3 linked regions of the Notamacropus eugenii genome follow. The protein of the gene in region 1 purifies or fractionates together with the protein of each later gene. This does not show direct contact. Links are inferred from orthologs where the notes say so. Each region holds a gene or a part of one and is shown in the gene's direction. Other genes may lie near its edges. The genes, in order: MAP3K7, PELI3 and RIPK2.

Region 1 (6,945 bases):
TGAGTGAGAGAGGGCTGTGTACGTCACCAGCCTCACTTTTCCTCCAGAGCCATCTGAATCCAGTGACCAGATATTCATCAGGATGACTGGAGACCCAGGATGAGGTAGTTGGGGTAAGTGACTTGCCCAAGGTCACACAGCTAGTGAGTGTCAAGTATCTGAGGTAAGATTTGAACTCAGGTCCTCCTGACTCCTGCACTGGTGCTCTATCCACTGCACCACCTAGCTGCCCTCCCATTCATTTTAATTCTTCTATGGAACATCACCAATGTGAAAATGTATTTAATAGGAATGTATGTGTATTGCATGCCGTCTTGGGGAGGGAGAGGGGAGGAAATCTAAGATGTGGTGATTGTAGAAAACTGAAAACAAATAAATTTTTTTAAAAAAGAAAAAAAGAAACCTTGGTTCTTCCTTCATTGTATGTATTGCCATGCTGTCCCAGATATCAGATAACAGATAGTGCATCACTGGAATCCATTTAAGCAGCATCGACAGTATAGGAGCCCATGTTTTCAAACAGCATCTAGTCTCCTACATGCATTTCTGGTAAATTGCCACATTCAGCAATTCGATCAAGGCCATCACATGTTGGTCCCCATATGCTAGAAGAGTAATACTTCTCATCTAGTTTGGGTCTCTTCTGTAGAATAGGTTTAACATCAAACAGGATGCAATTAAATGGTCCATAGAATCCATCACTGGCATAGTACGTAAAGGTTTGATCATTTGCCTCATCTTCATCATCAGAACCTGTTTCTTTAATACAAGTTTTTTTGGCAATGCGGTTAACTCCAAGAATGAAAGCTAATGCAACACAGTATCTGCCTGGTTCAACTATGATTCTCACTCAAGAGTCAGAAAGAAAATACTTGTCCAATGCTGGACTGGTTATATTTGAGATCTCTTCACACTTAAGCTTTACATCCTCAGAACCAGGAAAACCACCACCAATAACAAGAAGAAACATGTTGAAACCAAATTCTACCCCCATGTCTAAGATCATCAGTGATCAGAAACTGGTTGGACAAAGGTTTCTGGATCAGTACAACCACTTCCCGTGTGAAAACTAACTACAATAACATCAATATTCAGTTCCTTTGCCCAAGTATAGTGACCCTATATTTTCTAAGGACTAAACAAGTATAACACAAGCCCCTAGCTGATCCTATCAAAATGGGAAGGCTTTGAATAAGAATTGAGTAAGGTCTGTGTTTGTCCAAGGACTGCCTTAGCTAAATGTGTTATGAAAGCACCTAGTATACCAATGTTATACAGTATGATCAAATGTATCAGATTAAACATCGTAATATACCAAGTATTCAAATTTTTGTGATTTTAGATCTTAGCAGGAACCCAAGACAGTATCTAGTCCAACTCTTTAAACTTCCTTTTACATAGGATGAACCTGAAACAGAAGTTAAGTGACTTGTCCAAGGTTACATGAGAAATGTCACAGTTTACATTTAAACCCAAATCATCTGACACAAAATCCAAAACTCTTTCCAGTACCCAAAGCTATTTCCAGTTCTAACGCAGATATTTGCAGGCTGTGTGACCCTGGGCAAGTTATTTAAGCCTCTCTGTGCCCCAGTTTTCTTAATTGTGAAATTTAAGGAAATAACTACTTGTTGTACCTGCCTCATATATAGGACAGTAAGGCAAGGGTTTGATTATGCCTGGGGAAGTAGGTCAGATCTCAATTGCTTTCCCAGCAAATATGCAAAGGAATTAAGATCCTCTAATTTGTACGGCGCAGAGAACAATCTGTGACTTCTTTACTGATGTCCCAAAGGCATCTTGAACTCCACATATCCAAACCAGAATTCATTATCTTTACCCCCATACTTCACCCAGTATGCCAGATTCATAACCTTAGTGTCATCCTTTACTCCACACTCACTCACCTATTTAATGTTACCAAATCTTGGTTTTTGCCATACATCTCTCCTGTGTATCTCCTGCTCTTCATTCACATATAGCCACCACCCTAGTCTAAGCTGTCATCACCTGCCTGTATTATTATTATAACCTCCTTATTAGTCTCCCTCTACCTGTCTTATTTCTTACCACCCAAATTCATACTCCACTCATTTGCCAAAATGATCTTCCTAAAGTAAAAGTCTGTCATGTCACTCCCCCTCAATAAATTCTAGGGGCTTTCTATTAGCTCCAAGATTAAATATAAAGTCCTTTTTGGGAGTGGGAGGGGGAGCGGTGTTGGGGGGGGGCAGCTAAAGCTTTTCACAACCTGGTTCCTTTCCTACTCTTCCAATCTGTCTAACCTCCTCCACATTTTAAATCCTACTATACCAGCCTACTGGCTGTTCTTCATATCTGCGCTTTATATCTGAAGGCCCTCCACACCTTTGCCTCTTAGAATGTCCAGCTTCTTTCAAGTATCAATTTAATTGCCCCTTCCGATCATTCCTGGCGGTCTTGGCTGCCAGATCTTTCTCTTCTTTTACCCTCCAATTTAATGCTGATTTGTGTTGTGTGTACCTTTTGATTGACATGTCTCCTTATTAGAAAGTAAGCTCTAGGGCAGGGAATTTTTGTTTACTTTGTATCCCCAGCTCTTAGCACAATGCCTGACACCTAGTAAGCCTAGTAATAAACGAGATTTATATATAGCTTCCTAAGTGCCGAGTGCTTTCCAATTATTCTCATTTGATCCTCAATACAACCCTGCGAGGTAGGTGCTATTATTATCTCCATCTTACACATGAGAAAACTGGGGCAAACAGGTTAAATCTATGGTCTACAGTTGAGTTTGAGGTTAGATCTGAACTCTGGTTTTCTTCTCTACAGGGCAGCTAGGTAGTGCAGTGGGACAGAGCACCAGGACTGCAGTCAGGACCTGAGTTCAAATATGCATCCTCAGACGCTTACCAACTGTGTGACCCTGGGCAAGTCACCTAAACCTTCTTTGCCACGGCTTCCCCATCTGTAAAATGAGCAGAAGAAAATGGCAAGCCACTCCAGTACCCCTGCCAAGAAAACCCCAAATGGGGTCGGAAATGACTGAACACCTGGGTTCTCTCGGGACAGAATCACTCAGTATGGTTAAGACTTGGGGAGTATTCTAGCTGGCAGTGACGGAGCCTGAAGCCCCCCGGCACTACTCCCATTATTGACTCCCTGGGCACAGAAGCCCTGGCATAGGCTCACTGCCACCGGGCAGATGGTCAATAAATATTGCCAGCCGGTTTAACTTCTGTCACAGGTCATTAAACGGAGGAAACGCATTCCGGGCTCCCAGGAGCCGCAGCTCCAGTTACGGTGGAAGGTCAGGGCGGGACACGAAGTTTACGGGGAGGAGTCCCGCAGTTCCACGCAGCGCGGAGGGAAGATCCCTCTCTCCCCGACCTCGGCTTCCTTCCCTCGCCGCTGCCCCCTACCCACACAGGGTGCTCAAGGGGCGGGGCTCAGAATTTTCTTCCCAAACTAGGGAGAGAAATAGAGCGGTGGTCACTTCCACTCGGGATAGTCGGGTTCCCGAACCAAGGCAGGCTTTCCCGCTTCACCCGAGTAAACGCGTCCCGATCGCTTCTCCGCAGAGGTGCCAGTCAAGAGCAAAGCAGACGTTCGCGCTTTAGGTTCTGATTGGCACCCAGATCTCGCGGGATCTCCCTCCTAGAGAGGAGGGTCTGCACCCACCCCCGCTACGGCGCTCTCGGGAGGTGCAGGCTAGAAGGCCCGGCTCCCTCCGCTCCTTAGTCTTCTTTTATTGCTCCCAGGATACAGCGCGCCGGGACCGCAGGGCAAAGTCCTGCAGACCCGCGGCTGTCCCTTCTTCCGGTTTCCGAGCGGAACCGGAAGATTAGGAGGCGGGTCCTCCCCTCCCCGACCGGAAAGGGCAGTCGAGCCCGAGCCGGGACACGGCCTCGGCCGCTATCCCCACCACGGCTCCCCGGGCCCCCGGGTCCCCGGACTGTCGGTGTCCGGGCTGAAGGTCGGTCCGGACGACGGAGGACGCAGCCCTCCGGACTGTCGGGGCGGCCTCTCCCCGGCTGCCGAGAGGGATCATGTCTACTGCCTCAGCTGCCTCCTCCTCCTCCTCCTCTTCGGCGGGTGACATGATCGAGACCCCCTCGCAGGTCCTCCACTTCGAAGAGATCGACTACAAGGAGATCGAGGTGGAAGAGGTGGGTGCCGAGCCTTTGTCCCTTCCTGCCCGCCCTAGACGAGCCTTCGTGGGCCTGAGGCTGGAGCTGCCGCAGAGGGGCCGGGGAGGTGCGGGGTGGGAGAGCCTGCCCTTTTCCGTTCGCTGCAGAAGTTTGGCCACAGTACTTCATTGCTTTACGTCGAGATGCCGGGAATAGCAGGCTCCGTAACAGGCTTTCCAGAACAAGACTTAGTTTCCCTCTTTGTCAACAATACTCTCGAGGAACGTGGTGGGACAGTTCCCCATTCCGCTGCTCCCCCAGCCCCAATTCTAATACAGATCCAGTTAAAGCTTAGTGCTGTATCCACAAAGCAGTGGTGACCAGTTAGGTCCTATGCTTTCGAGCTGAAAGGGACCTTGAGATTATCTAGTCCTACCTTTTCACTTTACAGACGCAGAAACTGAGGCCCAGAGGAAGGTTCGGTGACTTTTCCAGAGTCATACTGGTAGTGAAGTAGCGGTGCTGGCCGGAGTTTGCACCAGACTCTCCTTTGACTCCAAATTTGAGAGGATAGGCTGGAAGTCAGCTGTTAGTTAGGATGCTAGGTTTTCGAGATGGAAGGGTGAGCTTTAAAGCTCATTTCATTTAATTATTTTATGAATTACTAAATTCATAAATTTTAGTATTTTTAATATTTTATGAATTACTTATTTCATGAATTACTGAAAAAGGGAAAGCCTGAGCAAAGAGGGTTGCGCTATGAACTGAGGAGACAAATGATAGGGGATAATGCAGAGGTAGAGTCAACGCGGTTCGGGTTGTTGGTTTCCTTCGAAAAGAAAGAATAAAAAATGAATGAGGTTACTAGCAGAATGGTGATGCTTTTGATAGAAAACTTCGAGTTAGGGGAAAAGAGATTGGGAGTTGGGGTTTTTAACTACATTTTGTTAGAAAGTAAACTTTTAAATTAGCTCTCTACATTTATAATGCTTACATATTATTTGACTGCAAAGTGATTTCATCTTTCTGAGCCTCTTTCCTGCTCTGCACACTAAGAGTGGTCAAACTACCAAAATTCTAAAGTCCCTCTAATTAGGTTCTTTGATCTTATAAAAATTGTGTTGACAACACTTCATAAAGGAATCAGTTGTGTAGAGTGAGGTTTAGTTCTCTTAAATCAAACTGATTCTTGAATGTGAATATGTAAAGGAAACATAAAATGGGATTGCTAAAATTAAAGATTAAGATGGTTTTCATACATGGTTCACATTAATGATCAGGTATATTATGCAGTCTATAGAGTGCCATAAACATCACAAAGTTATGCAGAGATGCCGCATAATCCAAATTTGATCTAGAATTTTAAAAAAAGTTGATTGTAAGTTATTGTTAGAAAACCTGAATCCTTCCTTAATCACAGTTCTACTTCACTTTTTCCTTCTGGAGTGTAATAAAGTTAATTCATTAGTTTTTGTCTATCTAGGTGATAGAAGTGTGATTGAGATTATAACATATGTTAAATAAATGCTATTTAGAAGTAAGATCAGGTACACATTTTGCCTACCTATCTGCATTGGTTAAAAATTTTTTTCCTTGCCAGGAGTTCCTCAAAGTACTGAAATTGTTGGTTCAGACCAAAACGACAAATTGTGTATAAAAAAATATTAAAAGACAAATTTCTGAAAAGTTTTAAGGAAATTGACATTAGCAGTTAACTAAACAGTTTGAATATTTTACACATTTATTGGGTACTCTTTTAAGAGTACTCACTCTAAAGTTAGAGGTCCTACCCAGGCTTCAAGTCCTTTTTCTACCTCTCTAGTTTTAAGCCAAGTCGATTAACCTCCTTGAACCTCAGTTTCTTCATCTAGAGAATAAGTGTGTTGAACCAGATGGCCTTTAAAGTCCACTTACAGCTCTAAATATATGATCATATGATCTCCTGTATTAGAGGCATTTTAAAGAACCACATCTTAAGCTGACATGTTTCCAGTCCTTAAAGTACATATTCAGCTTTTAAACTTTACAGTACTTATTCTATAATGGCAATTACTGATAGTATAACAAAGTATATTTTATTATATATGGAAGAATTTTTTTTCTCCATTTTATATGTGTGTGAATAACTTAGTGGAGATACTATACTATATGAGGTCATATAGACAAGAAAAGAATCTTATTTTGTGAATAAAACATAAGAAAAATATTTTATAATTCATATTGATTATGAAAACCCAGAGAACCCTTAAGAAGAAATAGTATGGTTCCATTGTTATTTGAAAGGAATTTCTTTTTTGAAATAAAAGTCAGTCTTTTTTTATGTCATTGAGAGATAAATTTTGAGATCAAAATTTGTGTCATATATAAAAATTGTATTTTTTCCTTTAAAAATTTATGCCAGTGAACTTCTGTGTCTATGGATCAAGGTTTGTGTAAAAATTATAGTATGTAAGTTAGCAGAGCTGGGATTTGCACCCAGATCTTATGATTCTAAATCTTTTATTCTGTCCTTACCACAGAATTTGTGATTAGGCCTCCATAGAAAAGGGAGAAATTCATAGACTAATTCACAAGAGTTATTCAATTCCTACTTTGTGTGCAAAAGACTATATTAGAATTATAAGACATAGCTTCTCTTGATTAAGAGGTCTGGTTCAGGAAATAAAACACATAAGTGGGAAAAGTTGTTGGAGCTATGCAGAACAAAGCCTCACAAAATCTTGGGAGTTGGAAGAGACAAGAGATCATCTACTCCAACTCATAATTGAGTAGGAATTCCCTCTACCACACTCCTAACCAATGAATGACCCCAATCTCTGCATGAAAGACTCTTTGG
Region 2 (7,849 bases), about 150 Mb from region 1:
AAGGGTCCTTTAAATTGTACGTTTTCTTTCTAGTCTTTCTCTTCATACCTGCAAGGTACCCTGCTAGCTTAGGAATGAGTTTTCTCTGGAATCGTCCTCTCTCCTCTGGACTAACGGCTTCTTGAAGGCAAGGACCCAGTCATCCCCGCCCCCCCTCCCCAGTGCCTGCGTGGCCTGGGTGCACAGTAGGCACCCAGAAAGACTTTATGGAGCTGAGCACACAGTAGGCACCTGGAAAGGCCTTTGGGCCTGCAAAAAAAGCCCATTCAGAGGGAAGAGTGGGTACAATAGCAGAGAGAACAGAGGAGGCGGAAAGCAGGAATGAGCTGGGAACAGAGGATGGGGGAGGCAGAGAATGAGTGACAGCAGCCTTTGTGTCCATTGTGGGCTTGCCATCTGGGGACCCAGGGGCCCTGGAGCAGTGCCCAAACTAGCCACCTTCACTCCCAGGACAAAAGCAGGACACTGGGCCACTTACCTGCTGACCTGTGAGGGCAGGGTTTTGGGATTTGTTTTTGTTTTTTTTTTTTTACGCATTTTACATATTTTTCTCCATTGTTAAGCTCTGGGAACACCAGGCCTGCTCTTCTCTTGGTTCACTCTTGTCATTGCCCTGCCCTGAACTGACCCTGAAGGGTGGGCAGGAAGTAAAGGTGTTTTTTAGATGCTGCCCAAAGAGCTGGTCCTCTAAGGCTGATCACAGATATAAAGGAATCCATAGGCTTTCCTACTCTGAAGTCCTATGATGCCCCATACACAGAGGGGTGACTTCTCAGGGCCCTCCCAGGAAATTGTCATCTACTTCCCATGAATCTCCCTGATTGTGAAGGACACGATCCCATCAAGCCCCACAGCCCCAGTGGTGAACGCTCAGATCTGTCTACCTCTGGAAGTTTTTTGTTTTTGCCGTGAGGGTCTCTCTGGGCAGGTTAGAGGGTGGTTCCCATTAACTCCAGAATCATTAGGGTCCAGCTCTTAGAACTGGGGACCCCACACAGTGCCCTCTGTCTCTCCTCTCTCCCTCAGACTCCCGCCCAGCTTCCTTCCTTTCCTGGGTTCGTTCCTGCTATCCCTATAAGTCCCTGTTATAGAGCCCTCCTCACCAGAATCCTCATTCTGGGACATCAGAAGCAGCATTTTGTTGAGCATTATGGGAAAGAAAGTGCTAAAGTCATGCCCACTAGCTCCAGCTTATCCAGGCGCTCCAGAGGGTGCCAGGATTTAAGTACCAAAAGCATTCCTCACTTAACAGATGAGGAAACTGAGATGCAGAGGGGTTATATCAGCCTCACAGGGGCACACAGCCAGGAAGGTCCAGGACCAGAATGAAGACCGATGTTTTCAGGCTCCACATCTCATGTTCTTTCCTCCAGGGTTCATCAGCTCCCTGGCATCTTGGGAAATGGGGGCACCTTCCCCAGCAGAACAGCAGAGAACATGCTATTATTCAGTCAACAAGCTTTTTCTAAGTGTTTGCACTGTTCTGGGCATTGGGTTTCATGCTCCATTGTGGGGTCTGCATAACAGATGAAGTGATTTGTGATTTGTCAGGAAAAGGCTTCATCAGGAAAAAAGGACTTCAGTTTGAGAGATGGGTGTGTTTGGAAGAGTGTTGTGGGAGGGCACAGAAGGGTGGGTAGGTTTGGAATAGGAGAGGTAGAAGGGCATGGAAGGACAGGTAGATTTTGGATGGGGGAGGTGGAAGGGCTTTGGGGAGAACACTGGACGAATTAAAATGCAATTGTCATTCAATGTTTCATTCATTCATCTGACAGATATTTCAGCCCCTGCTCCACTCTTGAAGGTTGAGGGTGGTACAAGGATAAGGAAGATGTGATCTCTGGCCTTGAGGAGTTTACAAATTAGAGGATTTAAGTCATATACAAAGAGACTATCCATTAGCCCAGGGTTCTTAACCTGGGTCTGTAGATAGATTTCTTTTTAAAAAAAAAAAATTATATCTGTATTTCGATATATTGTGTTTCGTTTGTAATTCTATGTATTTTGTTTTACTTTATGTATTTAAAGACATTAACCTGAGAAAGGGTCAGCTTCAACAGATTGCATTTTACGGCACATAAAAGGTTAAGAAATTTTGTGTTTGACTGTGGTGAGTGGAAGTGAGCACTATAGAAGTGTAGGATGTGAGAGGAAGGGATCGCTTGTAGTTGGAGAATCAGGGCAAGTTTGCTCTGAACCTTGTGTGTTTGCTGGTAGGGATGTTGAAGGCAGGGTTTTGGGAGAGCTGGTTCAGGTTTGAAAGAATTCACTTAGACCTCTTTTAGCCAATGGGAGCTTTTAATTTTACATGAAAAAGCATCACAGGTCTCTTTAGCAAGAAAGCTAAGGGAGACCCCATATCTGGAGGAGCTAATGCTTTTATAGAGGTCTCAGAATGATGCTGTAGTTTTAGAGGTTTTTATGGACGTTAAAGATTAAAGATAGGACTGGATGACATAGGATGAAGGACACAGGGAATTCTTTATGGTTTAAGGATTTGGGGAGGGAGAGATACAGACTAAAAATTAAAGGACCTGGAGAACCCAGGATAAGGAAGACAAAGCAATTCTTTTGGTACAGGCTCAAGATAAGGGGGAAAGGACTTTAGGGAACCTTCAGGTTACAGAGTAAACTAGGGGCTTCATAAAGTCCTGGAAAAGCAGCTCAATGTTATTTTTAACCCTTCGGGCACTGTCTGTATTCTGCATCATTTCCTCACTCAACCACTAGGCAGGAGAAATCTTTCGGGAAAGGGACAAAGGTTATTGCCTTTTTCTGTCACTTTTCTGGCTGGTCACCTCCTGGTCTTATCTCCTATCTCACGTCTAGCTTGCTCCAAAGGCCCCAAGCATTCTTTTCTACCTCATCGGAGAGATTCACATGCCAAGTCCGATCTGTTCCTGCCTCTCTTACTGGTCCCCCAAAAGCTGTATCTTAACTAATTAGCCATTTGCCCTCTGGTTCAGCCACAGGAATGGTGAAAGATGCCTGATCTTTTCTACATGAAGTTAGATTCTCCGTGGATTCACTTTTTCCAGAGCTAAGGCAAGAGGCCAGAGTGAGATAGGAATAGTTGCATTGTTTGCAAAGTATGGTATCACCACTAGGGAGATGCTAACTCCTGGTCTGGCAGCATCGGAGGCTACATGTTAGGAGCCAAAGGTCACCGGAGGGTGTCCAGGGAAGCATCACCAAACTCTGGTCTAATGGGTACTATCTCTGTATAAACTCCTCCAGGTCCAGTATTATGTCTTCCCTATCCTTGTGCTGCCGAGGAGATCAGGCTACATGGGGATGGTGGCCAAGGCTTAAGAAGAAAATTCTTAAGGAGGAAACCTACCAACTGTGGTCAAGCGTCAGAAAGGCCATCCTGTGAAAGGGGGGTGGTGTGTTTATTCTACTTGCTCCCAGAGGACAGAACTGAGTGCAAAGGCTCTGGGTTCCAGAAAGGACGATACTTTCTTAGGCACTGGTGACATTTGAGGACGGCTGACCTCACTTTCAGCTCTGATTCTGTGACTCTGTGTGACCTAACTTAGGAATTTGTGACATGATACTGTGAGTTTGAGTTATCTGTGTCTTTGTCCCCTCACCCTCCCAGACTTTGAGTATCATGTCATCAGGGACCAGTTCAAGCTTCGCCCCTCCTCCATCCCAGCCCCCAGGCCCAGAGCCTACCACATAAATGTTCCTTGCCCTGGTTGCCATCTGTGAATTTACCTATGTTGTTCTCTCAGCTACATCAACATTTGCTGAGCCTGGCTTGGAGACCATTCACTTAACCACCTCAGTTTCCTCATATGCAAAATGCGGATATAATAGCACTTACCTTCCTGGGTTGTTGTGAGACTCAAAAAATAGGCATAAAACACTTTGTAAACCTTAAAACACCATAGAAGTGGTGGGCCTCGAGACCAGCTGTGGAGGGCCAGACAAGGATGGAATTCAGGAACCCTCAGTATGACTACCCTGAGATCAGAAGGAGGGACTTGACACTTCCAGGGAGGGTCCTGTTTCCTGTGTGGGCTGTAGACTGGGTTTTCAAAGATGCTTCTCAGTTTCCTCCCCAGGGTTTGGGGAGGAGTTTTATGTCCCCTCCTCTCTCCTAGTCAGAAACAGATGGACTTGGGAATCTCAGTGTCCTGGTTAAGAACTCAAGCCCTTCCATTTTACAGACAAGGAAACTGAGGCCCATCACATAATTTTCCCAAAGAAACATGGGGAGGAGCACGAGAGATAGGATTTGAATTTGGGTCCTCTAATTCCAGAGCCAGTGGGCCAGGGCAGGGCCAGGCATGAGACTCCACTCCTTGACAGCTGCTCTTTCTCTTTTCCAAGCACACCTGGCTTAGCCACCTTGGCTTTCCCCGATTCCTCCATAGGCTTCAGATCCTTGGGGCCACTTGACCTGTAAGACCAGAGAGCTGGAGGGAACGGTAGGGATAAGTTAGTCCACCTTGCCCATTTTATAGAGGGGAAGAGGGAGGCCCAGAGCCCTGAAGTTACTAGTTGGAGGTTACAGAAGGAGCAAGGGGTAGAGCCGGGATTCCAGCCCCCTGGTCCTCACGCAGGACCCTCTGACCCAGCCCCCGGGCTCCGCTGTCCCCTTGCTCCCCCTCCTCCTCCATCCTTCCCCCCATCACACACACGCACACACACAAGAACCGACAAGGGGGATGTAAGGGAAGGGGGTCCCCGAGCTGAGCCGGAGGAGGCGGGGAAGGAAGGAGGAGGGGCGGAGTCCCACCAGAAGGAGGCGGAGCCTCGGCCGAGGTGCGAAGTTTCGCCGCAGGAGGAGGAGCTCGAGGAGGCGGAGCCCCGGCCCAGGGGGGCGGGATCCGAGGAGGAGGCGGGGCTCTGGGTGGTGCGCGTCCCCCTCCCCTTCCTTGTCCTTCTCGCCCTCCCCCCGACTCTGGGTGTCCCCGTGACGAGCCAGCGCCGTGGTGCCGCCGGGCCGGCCCAGCCCAGCTCGGCCCGGAGCATCCCAGCCCGGTCCAGCCACTGCGGACCTGCCTGCGGCCAGGAGCGCCCCGGGGCTAGGTAAGGGGCCACCCCGGGGGGCGGCCAGAAAGGTGGGCGGGGCCTGGAGGCGGGATGGGGGGACCCTGGAGGGAGGGGGCGGCAGGGGTCCGGGAGTCCAGCGCCCCGCGGCTGTCTGGCAGGGCGCACGCTCTGCGCCCCGGGGCTCCCGTGGGGATCTGCGTAGGTGCTCGGCTCTCCCGCGGCTGCTCCTAGTCCCGCTCCCGAAGCTGCTGCTGTCGCCCCCCCGCGGCGGCTGCGCCTGCCCGTCTCGGGGTGCGCGGCTCGGGCCCCCCCTCCTCTCCCTCCCGCGCGCGTCCCCTGCGTGGCTGTGTTTCCCAAACAGGTTCCCTGCAGGAGGGCGAGTCTGCTGCAGCCTCAGCTCAGGGCGCACCGGGAGGGTCAGAGGAGGAGAGATGAGGGTGAGAGCGAGCCCCCGCCGCGTCCCCAAACACACCGGGACACACACGCAGATGGGCAGATGGGCTGGGGGACCACCACTGGCCCAGGGGAAGCGTAGCCTGCTGAGGGCGGGCAGAGGCAGAGATAAATGGGGAGACGAGGAGAGATACGGGGAGAGACCTGAGGAGCCCCGCAAGGCCGGGGGCAGAGACCGCCCGAAGTGCTCTGCCTAAGAGGGGGACCCCGAGGGCCGATGGGGCTGGGGGCTTCTTACTCCCCGGTGTCCAGAAAGGGGGAAAGCATCTTCTAAGGGGGAGGAATCTTGTCCAGGAGGAAGCCCAGATCCTCTGCTGTTGAGCCAGACTGGGACACATGTCTCTGGAGCCTCAGAGCTTCACTACCCCTGTCCAGGCATCCCCTTCCCTCTATCCCCCCTCCCCCATTACCATGGTAACTAGGCAGCTGGGGGAGGCAAAGGCGGCAGTGTTACCATGGTAATGGGGAAGGTGAAAGGTCCCCCATTCAGAAGAGGGGGAGGCCAGGGGACTGGGGCCCAGATTGGATCCAACTGTTTGGGGGAAGCTGGGTGGAGGGGGAAGTCTGAGCAGCTTTCTCTCTCTCTCCTTGGATCTCTGGTAGGATGGTGTTGGAAGGCAGCACTGACGTGGGGACCCCAGGATCCCTGGGCCTCCGGCAGACCAGCGCCAAAACCCCCCGAATCCTTCCTGCTCCTCCTTCGGACAGTTTGCTGTTGGGCAAGGAGCCTGTCAAATATGGGGAACTCATCGTGCTGGGGTGAGGGCCTGGAGCTAGAGGTCTGGGGTGGAGGGTTGGGCGATGAGGGGAGAGTGCCCAGGAAGACCTGAGGGAGCTCCACAGAGAACACACTGAAAAGCTAGAGCCAAGCTAGGAACTAATGTTAGAAAACATTCGAGGCAGAAAGGGAACTTGATTCATCCCCTTCACTTTACAGAGGGGTAAGCTGAGGTCCACAGAGAGGGAGTGCCGGGCCCAAAGTTGAGCACTTCTCAAGTGGAAAAGCAAAGACTAGAACCCATGCCTCCTAGCTCCCAGGCCAGTGTTCTTTCCTCTCCCCCATGCTGTGGCCTCTGTGTGTCTTTGGAACCTCCTGGCCCTTTCTTTGGACTCTGGGAGGCATTCCTGGGTCCTCTCTCCCAATTCAGTGCCATACAATGGAGCAAACAGTGCTCACTTTCCTGTTCTGTACAGAACCTTGTACTGGGCATGGGGAGAAAGGAAGTTGAGACAGGCACAGACCCTGTCTTCATGGAGCTTTTAGGCACAAAAACAGAGAAGTAGGAGACATGACACAGTATGATCAGAGAGGTGGAAGGAAGGTCTGTGCTGACAGGGGTGATCAGGGCCGGTTCACTGGAGGAGGAGGGGTTAGCGTTGGGCTTTGAAGTGAAGGAGGGAGGGAAGGGCCTTCCCCAGGAAGGGATGGCAGGCAGGCAGGGAACAGAGCATGTAGTTTGGAGAGCATGGAGGGACTTAGGATGAAACCGTGTTTAAAGGGGAGGGTGGGAAGTCGAATTGGAACTTTACTCAGTACACAGCAGATCTGGGTGTAACGAAGATTATTCTGGTAGTGGTCTGAAGGATGCACTGGGCAGGTGGGATGGCCAGGAGGCTGTCACAGGAAGCCAGGCTGGTAGCAAGCAAGCCTGAGCAGAGGCAGAGGGAATAATGTGGAGGACAATTGTGAAGGCTTTGATGGGAGGTAGCCTGAGGACCTACTAGAGCTGACTGGGAATGAGGAAGGAATGGGAAGAGACAACCATGATGCCCAATTCCAGAAGAGGAAAAGCGATTGGATGGTGGTACCCCAGACAGGAATCATGCCAGCAGGGCAAGCAGGAGCACAGGGGAAGAGTAGCCAAGTAGTTTCCAAGGCTCTCAACAGCTCAGTGAGTTATTTCAGGGTCTTCCCAGAAGGTAAGGTGAACCAGCAGTGTGCTGGACTGGAACAGCGCTCCCTGGGCCTTTCTTTCCCCACAGCTACAATGGGTCCCTGGCCAGCGGAGACAAGGGCCGCCGCCGCAGCCGCCTGGCGCTGAGCCGGAGACCCCAGGCCAATGGGGTGAAGCCTGACGTTGTCCACCATATCTCTACCCCACTCGTGTCCAAAGTAAGGGACAGCCCAGGCTTGACATCTCTCCTTGTCCCCTATCCCTTCTTTCCCGAGTTGTAACCTCTCCTTGTAGATCCTACCATGTTCCTAAGGATGCAAGCAAGACCATGGCTAGGGGCTGGATGAGTGATTGTCCCTTCTTCTCCCCAGGCACTGAGTAACCGGGGCCAGCACAGTATCTCCTACACACTCTCTCGGAGCCACTCGGTCATCGTGGAATACACCCACGACAATGACACAGACATGTTCCAGGTATGGCTCTCCCCCTTCCTCAGT
Region 3 (7,838 bases), on another chromosome or scaffold:
ATAGAACCACTTCAAAGTGATATGATTAATGGGGGTTATGGAAGGGAGGGGTGAAAGGAAGGCAGAGGAGGAGGTGAAGAGATGTTCCCTCCTCCAGACCTCCTGGACTATGTCTGTCTGTCTCTCATTCTCTTGGAGGGATGGATGTAGGGATGGATGGATGGATGGAGAGAGAGAGAGAGAGAGAGAGAGAGAGAGAGAGAGAGAGAGAGAGAGAGAGAGAGAGAGAGAGAGAGAGGGAGAATCCCTTTACAGAAAGAATGCCTTTAGAAATATTTACACCATATAAATCATCTCCATTTCTTTAGGGTGTTTAATTATGATAAGGAATCAACGGCTCTATCTTGAATGACCTACCTCAATCTCTACATGGCATTTTGTTAACAATATGACTACATCTATGTTGCTATACAATATTACATAATCCATTGCAGGAAAAACAGTGTGGTTATTCATGTCCTATTATCCCAATAAGCATTATGCATCATCTGCTGTCATTATTCAGCACCCTATCGTGATTCACCACAACAAATCCTCCAGACTTTCTAGAGGACACACCTTCCCCAATCATATCAGACACACTTTTGACCCACATAATATGAGCCACAATTTTACGCTCCCCTCCAAGTTGGAACTTGCATAGATGTTGCTACAGAGAACTTGTCATGTGAAGCACAGGTTTCATACTGATTTGAGCTCTACATCCCTAATTTTTATTGGCACAAAACCATGCATAATTTTAAAGAGAGATTAATACAGGTTATAGCCTGACTTCTTAAAGGAAAAATTATTTAGTTTAATTTCAGGTACTCAATAAATATTGGCTGAATTGAAGGGACCAGTGGAATATGAACCAGCATAATGGCCTGGAGTAGCTTACTGTAGGGCTCTTGTCCTGTCTAATGTTATCAAACAGGAAGCATGCTCAATCCTCATTCTCCTTGACATCTCTGCAGCATTTGATACTGTTGACCGTCACCTGGCTAGCTCTCCTCTCCAGGTTTTCAGGACAATTTCTTGCTTCTCTTCCTAACTGACTGCTCCTTCTCAGTATCCTTTATTGGATATTAGCCACAACACAGCCTCCAACTGTAAGTACACCACAAAGCTCTATCCAATATTCTTTTCTCTTCTCTCATTTCATCACCGTTTCCAAAGATAGTAGACAGAAAAGTTCTGTCCCAGAATCACAGACTTCCACGCTCCCCAGGACATGCCTCTAGCTACAGTATGCTGCCTGCTCTTCCCCTGACATGGTCTGACCTGAGCAAAGTACAGCATGACCATACACCTCCTTATTATTCTTAGAAACTATATTGCTCTTAATGCAGTCCAAGATCATACTAGATTTTCTAGCTGTCACATTACATTATTACTGATATTTAGTCTATGGTCCACCAAAACCTCCACAACACAGATATTTTAACAGAGAGCAAACAGATCTATATGAGAAACCAAACTTCTGTTAGTTCAGTTTCTTTTTAAGATATACACAAGTATACATATAATATATAATTTAATAAGATAGCAAAACTCCTGTTTATGGCCCCTTCTGCCTTTTTTCCTTCTTCAAACTACTTCCTAAATATGCTTTCACAATCTTATATTTGTGAATTTGATTTTTTTAATTCTAGTGCAATACTTTATTTCTAGTAAATTTCATTTTGTGAAATTTGACCCCAAATTCTAGCCTTCTAAGATCTTTTTAGATTCTTTCTCTGTTATTCATTGTGTTAAGAATTCTTTCCAGTTCTATGATATGTGTAAATTCAATAAGCATGTCATCTATAGTTAATCTGAGTTAATGACAAAAAATGTTAAACAGTACAAAGCTAAGCTCAGATCCCTTGGTACTCCACAGGAGACTTCCTTCCAAATTAACAATAAACCTTTAATGACAGGCCATTTAACCAGCTATAAATCCATAGAATTATACTGTTGTCTATCTCATTATCTTGCCGTCTTTTCTACAAGAATAATATGAGTCAAGCTAAATGAAAGCTAAGAACACTAACACAAAATTAGATAACATTAAAAGAGGCATTACTTCTAGCCCAAGGAGGTAGAACTCTGATCTGGTAAGACCATATTGGGAGTATTGTGATCATTTGGGGGCACATTTTAAGAAGAATATGGATAAATTAAGAATATTCAAAAGAGGAAACCAGTATGGTAAAGGGCTTTAATTTTCTGACATATGAAAATCAGTTGAGAGACCTGAGATGTTTAATTTAGAGAAGAAAAGACGCAGGAGGGTCATGACAGGTGTCAAGAACTTGAAAGGTTATCAAGAAAGATTTTTTAAAAATTATTTTTCAGTGATACAGGGTAGAAAGGAAATAGATTTTTGTTCATTGAAAAAATAAAATTTAATAAAAAAGAAAAAAGACTTTCACGTAGAAAAGGAATTCAATGTGTTTTATTTGATCACAAAGAGCAGAACTAGTAGTAAGGGTTGGAATTTTCAAAGAGGCAAATTAAGGCATGACTTCAAGAAGAAACTTCCTTACTATTGGATCAATTTAAAAGATTAATGGAGAAGTAGATAGAGCTCCAGGTGGGAAATCTGGATGATTCATGTTCAAATCTGACCTCAGATACTTATGACCTGTGTGACCCCAGGAAAGTCACTTCACCTCTGTTTACCTCAGTTTCCTCATCTGTAAAATGGGGATAATAATAACACCTACCTCCCAGAGTTGTTGTGAGGATTAAATAAGACAAAAATTGCAAAGCACTTACTAAGGTGCCTGGCACATAGTAACTCCTATATAAATGTTAGCTCTCATTTTTTTTTTAATTTTAAAAGTGAAACAGATTGACTTGAAAAGTAATGGATTTTCTCCTCACAGGTAGTTCTTAGACAAAAGCTGAGTAGCCATTTATTGGGCAAAACGTAGGAGGCATTCTTTTAAAGGTTTGGACTGGACTAGATGTTTGGTGAAATTCCTTCAAACTCTGAGATTCTATATTAAATTTTATTAGATCTACAGTGAGAATTTTAGCAGCATATTAGATGATTAGTAGTCAAATCCTTCAGCAATCAGCAGAACACAATATACAAATATTTTGTCTTTGTTTTTGTCTTAACTCATGAGTTCATCAATGTAGAGAACTCTCAGCATGCAAAATCCATCTGTAAATACAAATCATGTATATATTTTAATCTTTGAGAATTTCCCGGGGCATCAAAGGTTAGTTTAAGTTACTTGTCTATAGTTACATAACAGATATGTGTCAGAGACAAGATTTAAATCCAAATCTTCTTAACTTCAAGGTCTCTATCCTTCCTGAGGCCATTAAGGACTAGACCATCACATTCTGCCTCTACCCTTAAGATTTCAAAAATAATACAGTAAACACTGAGCGACATCATGACCAATTAGAATTTAGGCTCGTTGAAGGCAAGAACTATATTTCTTTCTTTCATTCTTTGTATCCCCAGGACTTAGCACAGTGCCTAGAACATAACAAGATGAACAAATGCTTGATGCTAGACTTGTTGACATGGCCAAAGTACTGGAGCTAATTAATTAGATGTCTGAACTTCAAGGTAGTCTGAAGCATGTTCCTAAGAGCTCAAGAAGACCATCCTGGATTTCTCTATTCCTGTGGTCTATAAGCTTTCTGTGCATAGAGGCTCCCTGGCCACATGCCACCCTGTGTCCCCCTCCAAGCCTGTCTGCCTTTGTAGGACATGGAGATATTAATTCTGTAAGATGAAGGCTGTGTCCTGGATCTGGTGTAAAGTGAGGCACCTTAGATTTTCCTTTAGGGGCCTTCTCTTAAATATTTCAAATAAATAGGCTATTGTTTAGAGTTTTGCAAAAATAAAGATGAATTTGGGTAGACCTGAAAAGGTTTAGAAGTCCAATTACAGCTCATTTCCATAAATCCTACCTACTCGAGGAGTACATGGTGATCTAGGAAAATTAAATTACAGGCTGGGGTCATAAGTAGAATTCTTTTAGATCACCATCAGCAGTGGGATATCAAGTGTGTGATAAAGCACCATCTATCAAACTATTTCTCTAAAGCAAAGCTATCAGACTGGAAGTCTATAGGCCACAAGAGGCCTAGCTGAATGCCCATTTAAGCAAATCAAAATGCAATTGAGAAATGTTTTACAAAATTAAAAAAAAAAAATACAATCCAACACAGGTAATGTTAATTTGCCTTTTTCTAAGTCAATATATGATCCTCTCTTTTTTGAGTTTGGCACGGCTGCTCTAAAGGAAAACATTTTAAAGTAGAAGAGAAGTTTAAGATTTTTGTTATAATTTTATACTTGATGAAACCAATAATGGCTACTCAACCTTCAAGTAACAGTAGTAATATGAGGATGCCTACAGCAGACAGATATTCCACATCTACAAGTCTATTGTTTAGATGATTACCTCTGCTGTTGCTGCCACATTCATCCCACAGTGGGCTCAATAGCACCTGACGATTTTGTGCATGTCATTTTACTTCTCTGGACTATGGTTTCCCCATCAGCAAAACTGGAAATCTCACATAAAGCCTCTCTCTTCTCCCTAACTACCCCAATTCCTTCCATAAAAGAGGGACAAGTAACTCATTGCCAAAGCTTGGTTTGATAGAAATACAAGATTTGAGATCTGAGTTTCCTTCTAAAGAGACAAAGTTACAAAATCCTCATCAAAGGAATGTGGGCAAATGAGAAAAAAAACAAAACAATGAGAAATTTAGTCCATCTTTTCTGTAAAAAAAAAAAAAAAATTAACTGGTCAGATTTTTTTTTTTTCCCTCAAAGGGAGGTTGCCTGGTGTAATGATTCAGGTACCCAATTTTTTCAAAGCCAAAAGACCAGAATTCAAATCCCTGACATTTATTGACACTCTGTGACCTTGGATAAGTCACTTTAACTCTCTGGGACTCAGTTTCCTCACCTCCAAGTGAAGTTGGATTATACAACCTCAGAAATCCTTTCCAGTTCTAAATCTAGACACCTACAAAAGCTGGAGCCCTGAGCAAATTCAGAGAAATGTCTTCCTTCCTTCCTTCTTTTCCATTTATCCTACTTTTATATGCTGATAGGGGAATAAAGATGAAGAGAAGGAAGAAAAGATTCGAGGGGAAGAATTAAAAGAGTAAAATGTCTTTATAATATATTATGATAGGTTTCTTTCCCTGCAGCTCCTATATCGATGGAGCAATGGGAAAGACAGTGTAGGACAAGCAATACCTGATTTCTGGGACTGGGACTTTATTATTCTCCAACACGTGGCGCCCTCCAAAAAGGTCAGAATTTATTATTTTATAAACCCTTCCAAAAACAACGTTTTCCAGTGTTTCTCACCAAGGTCTTCCATCCAGTTCAGCTGGCACTTTCTCCCCTAGCCGCCCCACCAATTCCCCCACCTCAGACTTGGCTCTCCAGTTTGGCAATTTCCGAGTTGTACGTGCAGTCTGGAATGAGAATGGAAGATCCCGCTGACCAAGCGGAAAAGAACCGGCCGGGCACACTTAGGGGTTTTCCCAAAAAGAAAGTGTGGCTTTTCCTGAAGCCAAGGGAGAGTAGAAGGAAAAAACAAAAAAAACAAAAGAGGAGTTTCCTGATCGATCGCCTCGCTTCTTTAAAACTCTAGAGCGAAACTTTTCCCCCACAGCCCATACAACGTGCGCAGCATCCCCACAGTCCTTTCAGAGGAGGAGGCGTCTTCCCAGGGTGGAGACCTGGAGGCTGGCTTCTTACGCTGAGAGGGCTGGCACGGAGCCTGAGATCTCGGAGGCACAGGGGGTGAGGGACTGAATCGGGTGATCCCGGCGCGGGAGGAGCCGGGAGGGGAAGGAAGAGGAGTGTGCGCTGAGCGGCCAGTGCCAGGATCCAAGGCTGGAGACGCTTTTAAGCTGCTGACGTAGCCTGGCAAGCTTGGGAAGGGAGGAGCAGCCGGAGCCGGACCCACACAGAGTTCGGGAGAATTCTTCAGTTTCCTCCAAGGCTGGGGGAGTAGGTCTCGGGTGGAGAGAAGCAGCACCCATTGAGACCGGAGCAGCTTCGGCGGGACTTTGCCCTCGCTTTCTGGGGAGCACCTTCGGGGCTGTGGGCGGCTCGAAGCACTGCAGAGGCTGTTTGGATTGCAGCCGGGGAGGGTTAGCGGAGTCGGGGAAAAGGGACTTTACTTTCTCAGGGTGCTAAAGGGGAGGGAGCCAGTCTCAGACCGCTGCCCTCCGGGGGGAGGGGAGAAGCACCAATGCCCGCGCTCCCGCAGCGGGAGGTGGGAGCGTAGTAGCGCTGCCAAAGCGGAACCGTCCCTCCAGAAACACCGGACTTTCGCTGGAAGAGTTGGGGCTGTCTCCTCCCGGTCTGGCTAGGAGGATGAACGGGGACAGCCTAGCCATCTCCAGCTCCTTGCCCACCATCCCTTACTACAAGCTCGCCGATCTGCACTTCCTGAGCCGGGGGGCATCAGGCACCGTGTACTCGGCTCGCCACTCCGACTGGCGCGTCCAGGTGGCAGTGAAGCAACTGCATTTCCAGTCCCCATTGCAGGAAAGGTAATGACCCTCACCATCGCGGCCCTTCCTCGGGGGCCACAGGTCTCCGCCACCTAAAGGTGCACTCCCACCACTCCGATCCTTCCCTATACCCTCTGTGGCTCGTGGATGTGGTCAGGTAACAGGCGCGCGCGCACATGCTCTCCTATGCAGGTGAGCGCCTCCCTGCTCCGCCGGGCACCTCCTCCTGAATCGGGCTGCCGTGTGATTTACAGGAGAAGCAGGTGGGAGAGGGGAGTGGGGAAAATCCAGCTCTTTTGTCCCTTTTCTTAGACCAGAATCAGATTTCAGCCCGTCTCCTAAATCCCAAACCCCACATCATTGCCACGCCATCCCTAAATGCACCTCCCTTTGCTTTGCTTTGGTTTTGTGTTTGGCCTTTATGGATATGCCATTTAAAATATATATAATTGTAAAGGTACAGTAAGGTTTTTGTTTTGTTTTTGATGGTTGTGCCTCTTGTTGATTGACTTTAAGAAATTTTAAATACCATAGCACATTAGACTTGAGTTATTCCTCCTAGTCCACTCTGGAATTGAAGTCACTGGAGGCTGGAGAACCTACCTCTCATTCTTATTGTATGTGGTAACTGGTGGGAGACTGTCTCTAATGGCCACTGGTCGATTTAAGGGAAATGGTTAAAGTTTGAGGAAACTCTCCTTTCGATTTCAGTTCCAGAAATATTAGCAACACAAGCCTTCAATTCTGTTTGTGCCAACTCTAGACATAGATGCTAGTCTGTGTGTACACTGTTCTTTCCTTTGTAACTTCACTGTACCCTACAGTCACTTTGCAGTGGTCTCACTTTCATGACCTAAACACTTTCTTCTCCCACAGAATCATAGAAGCCTAAACTTATAAGAGACATAAGCAAGTCAGCCTCTTAATTTTACAAGAGTAAAAAGGAGGATCCAGGGAAGTTAAGTGATTTGCCCAAGGTCTGATGGTGGCAGAAAACTCAGGGTTTTTATTTGTTTGTTTTACCTTCAAGGTTAAGGGACCTTTCTGCTACAAATGTATGTAGATTTGTAATATTAAACTACAGCCTAGTGAAAGACGTAGTATGTGTTTTCTTTCTAAATCCTCTTTTAAAATATTGCTCAGTCTCCGCCAGGTTCTACCTCTCAGGGCTGTCAAGATCCCCTCCCCTTGTTGCACTCCCCAACCCCCATTCCCACCTTATCTTCAACTATTAACATCTAAAAATGGGAAGTAGCCAGCTATTAAGGCTTCAGTAGCCCTCTTAGGCAGCATTAGATGCTCGGGCATCTATGAAGTTTGCTTCCTCTCACTTTTACGCTAGAGTCAAATCTGATGAT

The links.
Region 2: the proteins of MAP3K7 (region 1) and PELI3 purify together in Homo sapiens (affinity purification with western blotting; 3 studies listed by BioGRID and IntAct, with this or other methods). This does not show direct contact. The link is inferred for Notamacropus eugenii from reciprocal best matches to the Homo sapiens genes MAP3K7 and PELI3.
Region 3: the proteins of MAP3K7 (region 1) and RIPK2 purify together in Homo sapiens (affinity purification with western blotting; 4 studies listed by BioGRID). This does not show direct contact. The link is inferred for Notamacropus eugenii from reciprocal best matches to the Homo sapiens genes MAP3K7 and RIPK2.

The regions. Positions count from the first base shown.
Region 1 is NC_092873.1:164,561,748-164,568,692, reverse strand, and holds the start of MAP3K7 (mitogen-activated protein kinase kinase kinase 7), read left to right. Parts: upstream 1-3,848; 5' UTR 3,849-4,028; coding exon 4,029-4,148; intron 4,149-6,945. UniProt on the Homo sapiens protein: Serine/threonine kinase which acts as an essential component of the MAP kinase signal transduction pathway. Plays an important role in the cascades of cellular responses evoked by changes in the environment.
Region 2 is NC_092873.1:19,029,547-19,037,395, forward strand, and holds the start of PELI3 (E3 ubiquitin-protein ligase pellino homolog 3), read left to right. Parts: upstream 1-4,842; 5' UTR 4,843-5,040; intron 5,041-5,365; exon of another isoform or gene 5,366-5,376; 5' UTR 5,377-5,441; intron 5,442-6,060; 5' UTR 6,061-6,061; coding exon 6,062-6,216; intron 6,217-7,440; coding exon 7,441-7,570; intron 7,571-7,723; coding exon 7,724-7,825; intron 7,826-7,849. UniProt on the Homo sapiens protein: E3 ubiquitin ligase catalyzing the covalent attachment of ubiquitin moieties onto substrate proteins. Involved in the TLR and IL-1 signaling pathways via interaction with the complex containing IRAK kinases and TRAF6.
Region 3 is NC_092875.1:164,404,380-164,412,217, reverse strand, and holds the start of RIPK2 (receptor-interacting serine/threonine-protein kinase 2), read left to right. Parts: upstream 1-4,758; 5' UTR 4,759-6,340; coding exon 6,341-6,519; intron 6,520-7,838.